2 linked regions of the Danio rerio genome follow. The protein of the gene in region 1 purifies or fractionates together with the protein of each later gene. This does not show direct contact. Links are inferred from orthologs where the notes say so. Each region holds a gene or a part of one and is shown on either strand. Other genes may lie near its edges.

Region 1 (3,095 bases):
GCATACAGCAATCTGATTGGCTGACGCTTCTGTCAGTGCTTGAAAAGTTGAGCTAGTCCCAACTTCTGCAGCGAGCAACACCTCTGAAACGGCGCCGACGGATCCACAATACAGTTCGGCAACGCCTGACGTCACAGCTCCTACTGGCTGGCCTCCGTTACTACACTCACCCCCCCTAAACCTCACTCCCATCCGGGTCACGGCACCAATGTAACCACACCAGTATTACATCACCCAACCCGCTCCAAGCTAGTATTGAACCGGCGACCTTCCCCAGTCAGTTGCTCTTTCAAGGAGGCTAAAGACCATGGCCTCTAGCGTCTGTCACTAGAGCACCTTTAGAGCTCAGAGGAGTGAGGTTAACCTGCACAGCACCTACTGGCTGGCCTCCATTACAGTAGCATGCTAAAAACAATATAGGGGCTGCAAAAAACAAACAAACATGCAAATATAAAACTAAATATATCTCAGTAATAAACCTAAATCTCTGCTACATTTTGTATGTTTAATCTCAGGCAGTCACAGCTTACCCTAAATTGAATAGTGTATTTGTCGGTGTATCCTTGTTTGTTTATTTTTTGTTCAATCGTTTGTTGTGATCTCAGTATCAGGAAGAGATCGAGGTGTTAAACCAGGTTGCGAGGCATCGGCCACGCTCAACACTAGTCATGGGCATCCAACAGGAAAACCGGCAAATACGGGAACTGCAGCAAGAAAACAAAGGTGTGTGCTTGGTGTTTTTTTTTTTCCTGCATGCTATTTGAGGCCTGTTTTTAAAGCCCAGTCTCTGTGCAGAGCTGCACACGTCTCTGGAGGAGCATCAGTCTGCGCTGGAGCTGATCATGAGCAAATACAGAGAGCAAGTGTTTCGACTTCTGATGGCCAGCAAAAAAGAGGATCCCACCATCGTCACGCAGCTCAGAGAACAGCACACGAACGTCAGTCCCCCACGCACACACTGAAATTCACTATTAAAAAGCTGCTACACAAATAGTCTCAGGAATCATACTGGAAATCCTTGAAAAACTTCAGTTTTTTTAATCTATAGTGTTTTCAAAGGTTTAAAAAGTGCTTAGATTTTAGGTAAAGTGCTTGCAAATGTAATTGTGCCACTTGCATAATAATAAATGGGTAATAATAACTCACTTTAAATGAATTAAAATTAATATTACAAAGAGTAAATCAGTTTTTCGATATTAGGCTCGGTGCAAACATGCCATTTCTTAGAATACCACACTATACTATAACAGAAAGCAGCTGATATAATGTGATTAAAGCCTGCAAATTTGCCACACTTGTGCATGGCTTGAAAATGCAGCTGGAAAAGTGTAATGTAAAACTAGAACCTAAAGTTCATTGATAAACTTTGATGTTGGCTTGAGAAAGTCAAACGTTTATGGCATTGTTACGTGGTTGCTGAGCAGTTGCTAAATGGCAATGCTCGTGTACATGTTTGATCAAATGCTAATACTTAGTAGGCATTTCTAGCATATGTTATTGCATTTAGATAATCATTCATAGCATGTAGCTAATCGTTATAAGCACTTGGCTTCCATTATCATTGTTACCATGCATAGTACACAGGAAGTCCCATTTGCTAGAATGAGTCAAACAAGCCAATGCCCAAGTCTCTACGATGTTCTGATGTAGAGATATTGCTATTTTTAAATGGTTGCTAGGTTATACTGTTTTAATGCTATGGGGACATTTGACAGGTTAGTGATGATACATCAAAGCTTCTTGGCAATATGAGTGATCTTAATCAACCCCGATGTTTCTATGACAGTCTTTATGAGTGTCAAAAACTGGACTTAAACATTATGTATTCCTGGTGTTGGGTTGCGGCTGGAAGGGCATTCGCTGTGTAAAACAAATGCTGGATAAGTTGGCGGTTCATTCCGTTGTGGCGACCCCTGATTAATAAAGGGACTAAGGGAATGAACATTATGTAAAAATGGCTTGCTGTATTTTTTTGAAAATACAACACTTAATAATTGTGAAGGTGATACATGCAAAAATGGCTTGCCATATCAGTAACAAATATGGAGTTTAAGTCAAAAATGGCTTGCCATATTTTGAGAAAAATAATGCTTAAAAATTATTTATTGAAAAACTATAAATCTGATAAACCTTAAAGATATAGCAACAAAATCTAACGCATCTAAATACAGCTTTTGGCCAAATTTGGGGCTTGTATAATTTTTTTATATGCCCGGATTATAAAAATATAATATTTAACATTTTTTATTTAAAAAAAATGATAAGTCTAACAGGCATGAGGAGATATAGCAACAATCTTGAATGCAGAAGGCACATTTAGACCACATTTGGGCCTTGTGGCATGAACGGCCTTGGAGGAGATACGTTTGTTTTCAAGGACAGAGTAGCATAACAGCATGTTGGCTTTCTCAAGCCAACACAATAACGCTCATTTTGTGAATAATTATATACAATTAATCTAAGCTACAAACATTGAATTTATTGTGCACAAATTGGCTTGCAAAGAATATGCACACAATAATATATACATGCAAATAATAAATAATAATAGGTTAAAATCTAAAATGACTCCACTATGATCTGAACTGTAGGCGTCTCGTCATTTATAATGCCAACTGCACACTGCAGATCCTACTTTTGCAGATTCACTCGTTGCAATATCAATGCTGAAACAATATATTGTGTAGGTGTTAACTGTTACGGTGTTTACGTCACAGGAGATGCAAGCGCACATCGAAAAAATCAACGAAATGGCCACGGTGATGAGGAAAGCCATCGAAGTTGATGAAGGACGACTGTGTGAGGATGAGGAGAGAATCAAACGCCTGGAGGTGACACACGCTTCAGTATAAATCACAGTAACTGGAGTGATATGACTAAAAGTTCCCAATATGAGTCGTTTCATTTCACAATAATGAGATTTATGAGATCATAACCACTTGATTATCTGGTAACACTTTAAAATAATGGTCCATTAGTAGATAATGTGTTTACTAACATAAATAAATAATTATTAATGCATTTATTACTGTATTCATTCATCTTTGTCAATGTCAATCAAGGTAAGATCATTAGTGCACTTGTTAACTTTGGAT
Region 2 (4,329 bases), on another chromosome or scaffold:
TAAAAAGTATATGGGAAATCTTAATTAAAAAAGTATGGTATTTGTTTATCAGGCCATATGTTTGTTTACTAGTTTATAATTTTTATTTGTTTATGTGAATCTCTTATTTGTATGATGACTTTTTTGTTGTTCTTTGTTGTGTTTATTTGTTAGAGCCCTTTTTATAGAGCCAGATTGGTCTCAAAAATATTACATTTAAATAATATAATTCATATATTCACAACTCAAGTTACAGTTACAAAATCCAATTCATAAATTCTAAACGAGATTCATTAATAAACAAATCCAACTTGTAAATTGAAAACATGATTCATAAATACACAAATCCAATCCATAAATTAAAATCGCGATTTATAAATACACAAATCCAATTCGTCAATTCAAAACGCGACTCATAAATACACAAATCTAACTTGTCAATTCAAAACACGATTTATAAATACACAAATTCAATTCGTAAATTCTAAACGTAATTCATAAATACACAAATACATTCCGTCAACTCAAAATGCGATTCATAAATACACAAATACAATTCGTAAATTTAAAACGTGATTCATAAATACAAAAATCCAATTGGTAAATTTAAAATGTGATTCATAAATACACAAATTTAATTCGTAAGTTCAAAACGCGATTCATAAATACACAAATTTAATTTGTGAGTTCAAAACGCGATTCATAAATACACAAATCCAATTCGTCAATTCAAAACGCGATTCATACATACACAAATTCAATTCGTAAATTCAAAACGTGATTCATAAATACATAAATCCAATTCGTCAACTCAAAACGTGATTCATAAATACACAAATACAATTGGTAAATTCAAAACGTGGTTCATAAATACACAAATCTAATTAGTCAATTTAAAATATGATTCATAAATACACAAATCCAATTCGTAAATTCAAAACACGATTCATAAATACACAAATCCAATTCATAAACTGAAAATGCGATTCATTTACACAAATCAGATTCGTAAATACAAATCGCGATTCAAAAATACTCAATCCAATTCATAAGTTTACATGCAATTTATAATTACTCAAATTCAATTTGTAAATTTAAAATGTGATTCATAAATACACAAATCCAATTCGTAAATTGAAAACACTATACAAAAATACACAAATCTAATTAATTTGGTGAAAGTATTTATGATTTTTGCTTGTGAATTTACAAATTGTTGGTTGTATTTACAAGTTGTGTTTTGAATTTACAAACTGGATGTTGTAAATGTGAATTGTGCTGTGCATGGAGGAGTTTTATTATGTACATGTATTATTTTTGAGACTGATCTGACTGGCTCCATACTTTTTTTGTCTGTTCAACAAATTGTTTTACCTGTTGTTGTCTTGCTTGTTGATTGTAAATGAAATGCTATTACAAAAGAAAAAAATAGCATCCGAAAAATGAACAAACAAACATTATTTTCAATCCGCATGAAAAACGTCATCCTTTTTCTCTGGAAACGCGGATCCGCCTACATTTTCGCGTCACCGCAAAGCCCCGCCCCATATCTCGGTGGTGCGCGAGCCCCGCGGCGGTTTGTGGCCGGTGTGTATGTGTGTGTATATCTCTTCAAGAGGACGACTTACTTCCAATTATCCCGTCGCACACAACGATTTCCCTCCCGATTTCAGCGTTCCGAAAAGCGGAGACCTCCATGGCTTAACACGGGACCGTGTCATGGACTTTATTCGTGTATGACTTTCTTTTCTGGGGAAATTTTTGTGTCTCTCAGCAGGCTAAGCTAGTTACCGAGCTCGCGAGCTAATACTGGATTTACGCAAATTCTCCGCGCATGAAAGTTCCACAGACCGAACAAATAGCTGGTTTTCGGGGATAAATCAGCTCGGGGTTATTTATAAAGTCTCTTCCAGCTTGGACGGCTCGATAAGGTGAAAGTAGAAGGCCAGTGTTACCTCAGCGAAGCTAACAAGCTAATATGAAGTTAGCCAGCTAACGCTCTCGTGCGCAAGAAAACACCCTCCGCGCGAGCTGTGCTCTTGTATACAATCCTGACAGCTAAATACTTGCATTTGAAGTCTGTTTAAGTAGGCATTTGAGGTATTTTTCAATATTAATTACTCTGTCTTGGGGAGTGGTGGCTTGATGGTCTGCTCTGCATACTTCAGCCAAACCCACTCACATTATTATTAATCTTCATTACGGTTTAACATTTTCACAAGTGCATTTCGTGCCTAGCAGTCATTCCCTCTAAATATAGACACGCATGTCAACTTGACAGTAATACTTCTTTTTTTTTTTTAGGAGTAAAGGTTGACCAATTCAACAGGTTATTGGTGTACTAGTTGCTGGGTTGTTTACTGGCCAGGCCTATGCTTGTAAAGGGGGACGAGGATGAATTGTGTTGGGAACGAAGTATAACAGCTCGAATTGTGGACTGTCATCTGGACACCCAGATTTGTATGGAATTGGGCAGCTGTATTGGGTTTGGTTCGGCAACATGGGGGTCTCGCAAGGGGGCAAGAAGTCATCTACATAGTGTATAAATATACAGTCTTGTTGACGTTATGTAGTCGGTTTAGCAGGGGTCTTTTTGTAGAGTTGGAATTTTTTTCGTATTACTATGTGCGTTGGTCTGCTGGTCATTCATTAGGAAGAATTGGAGCAACAGGTCAGTCTGGATCAAGAAACCCTGTCTTTCGTCTCTGGTTGGAGTAACACTCCCAAGCCATCCTCAATGCCTTCAGCGCTGGCCGTGTTCTCCTGCCGCCCGAATTCACACCCGTTTCAGGAACGCCATGTTTACCTGGATGAGCCGGTCAAGATCGGGCGCTCCGTGGCCCGGTGTCGCCCTGCCCAAAACAACGCCACCTTCGACTGCAAAGTGTTGTCGAGGAATCACGCTCTGGTATGGTTCGACCACAAGACAGGCAAGGTAAGTCTGATGTTTCACCAATAGATTGGATGTTAACTATAAACATTATTCATTAGATGTACTTATTTTTTTTAAGGTAAGTGGTTGCAAAAATTAGCATGAGCTGAATTTAAACAAATAAACGTTACTACATTTAGTTTGTTTAAATTCAGTCTATATAAATTGTTTGCAACCACTTGCCTCAAAAAAGTTAGTAAGTCCAATGAATATTTTTTTCAGTGTTTGACATATCCACCTCCATCTTTCTTGAATTATTAAGATTTTCTTTGTATCTATCTGTCAATGTTGTCACAATTGTCTGTACTAGGATTATATAGATAATATCCCCACCCAAAAGTAGATTAAGATGGAATTTATGGCTAAATATACCACTGCATTAGATCAGTGTTTCTCAACCACGTTCCTGTAGGACCACCAACACTGCATATTTTGGATGTCTCCTTTATCTGTTACATTCATTACAGGTCTTTCAGTCTCTGCTGATGATCTAAATCAGGTGTGTTTGGTTAAGGAAACATGGGGTGTTTCTCAATAGGCGTTTTTCAGCGATCCTGCGTCCTCGTGTTCTTCTGTAATGTCGTCATTAACTGCCTATGTTCAGTTCCAAAACTCAAGACGGCAAGAACGGAGGACGCGTGAAAGTTGCCAGATGTGTTCTTGATATCGTAGAGTCATCGATGCAGACTTGAGCACAAAACTTGCTTGAGAAGTCCTAGAAGTCGTTGTGGCTGTATGAAGGAGGTGGGAAGCGCAGCATTTTATTTAGATTTATTATTAAAGTTTAGAGATGTAACTTATTTACTTCAGGAGTTTCCCTAAATGAGACGGTGAATTTAAACATTACCATGTAAATCATAATAATGGCATAAGCACATAAAGGGTGTTTACTTGTTGAAATTCGTGTTAAAATTAGTTTTATTTGTATTGTGAAGCATATATTTGTACGTTTTTTTTATGCATGGTATATATTATGTATGGGGGAAAACAATAAATCGTTGTTGTAGGAATGCTGTAATGTTTAAACCATATTCCATTAAAAACATGTGAAGGTCACGTCACCATCAGGAAGACCCAGGGAAGAACACAGCATCTCATTTCTCACAGGATGCGTTCTCTGTTCTCAGCGTTCTAGGAATTAAGAGACAGTCTAGGAACATGTGCAGAGCTGGTGGTCCTCCAGTAATGTGGTTGAGAAACACTGCATTAGATCACAGGTGTCAAACTCAGTTCCTTGAGGGCCGCAGCTCTGCACAGTTTAGTGCAACCCTAATTAAACACACCTGATGAAACTAATTGAATTCTTTAGGCTTGTTTGAAACACACAGGTAAGAGTGTTGAAGCAGGTTTGGAACTAGACTGCAGGTCAACGTCCCTCCAGGAACTGAAATTGACACCCCTGTGTTATATAGTAAATA

Evidence for each region.
Region 2: the proteins of fgfr1op2 (region 1) and slmapa purify together in Homo sapiens (affinity purification with mass spectrometry; 3 studies listed by BioGRID and IntAct, with this or other methods). This does not show direct contact. The link is inferred for Danio rerio from reciprocal best matches to the Homo sapiens genes FGFR1OP2 and SLMAP.

The regions. Positions count from the first base shown.
Region 1 is NC_133179.1:2,052,700-2,055,794, forward strand, and holds part of fgfr1op2 (FGFR1 oncogene partner 2 homolog), read left to right. Parts: intron 1-605; coding exon 606-723; intron 724-795; coding exon 796-938; intron 939-2,717; coding exon 2,718-2,831; intron 2,832-3,095. UniProt on the Homo sapiens protein: May be involved in wound healing pathway.
Region 2 is NC_133186.1:44,735,264-44,739,592, reverse strand, and holds the start of slmapa (sarcolemma associated protein a), read left to right. Parts: upstream 1-1,525; 5' UTR 1,526-2,716; coding exon 2,717-2,914; intron 2,915-4,329. UniProt on the Homo sapiens protein: Associates with the striatin-interacting phosphatase and kinase (STRIPAK) core complex, forming the extended (SIKE1:SLMAP)STRIPAK complex.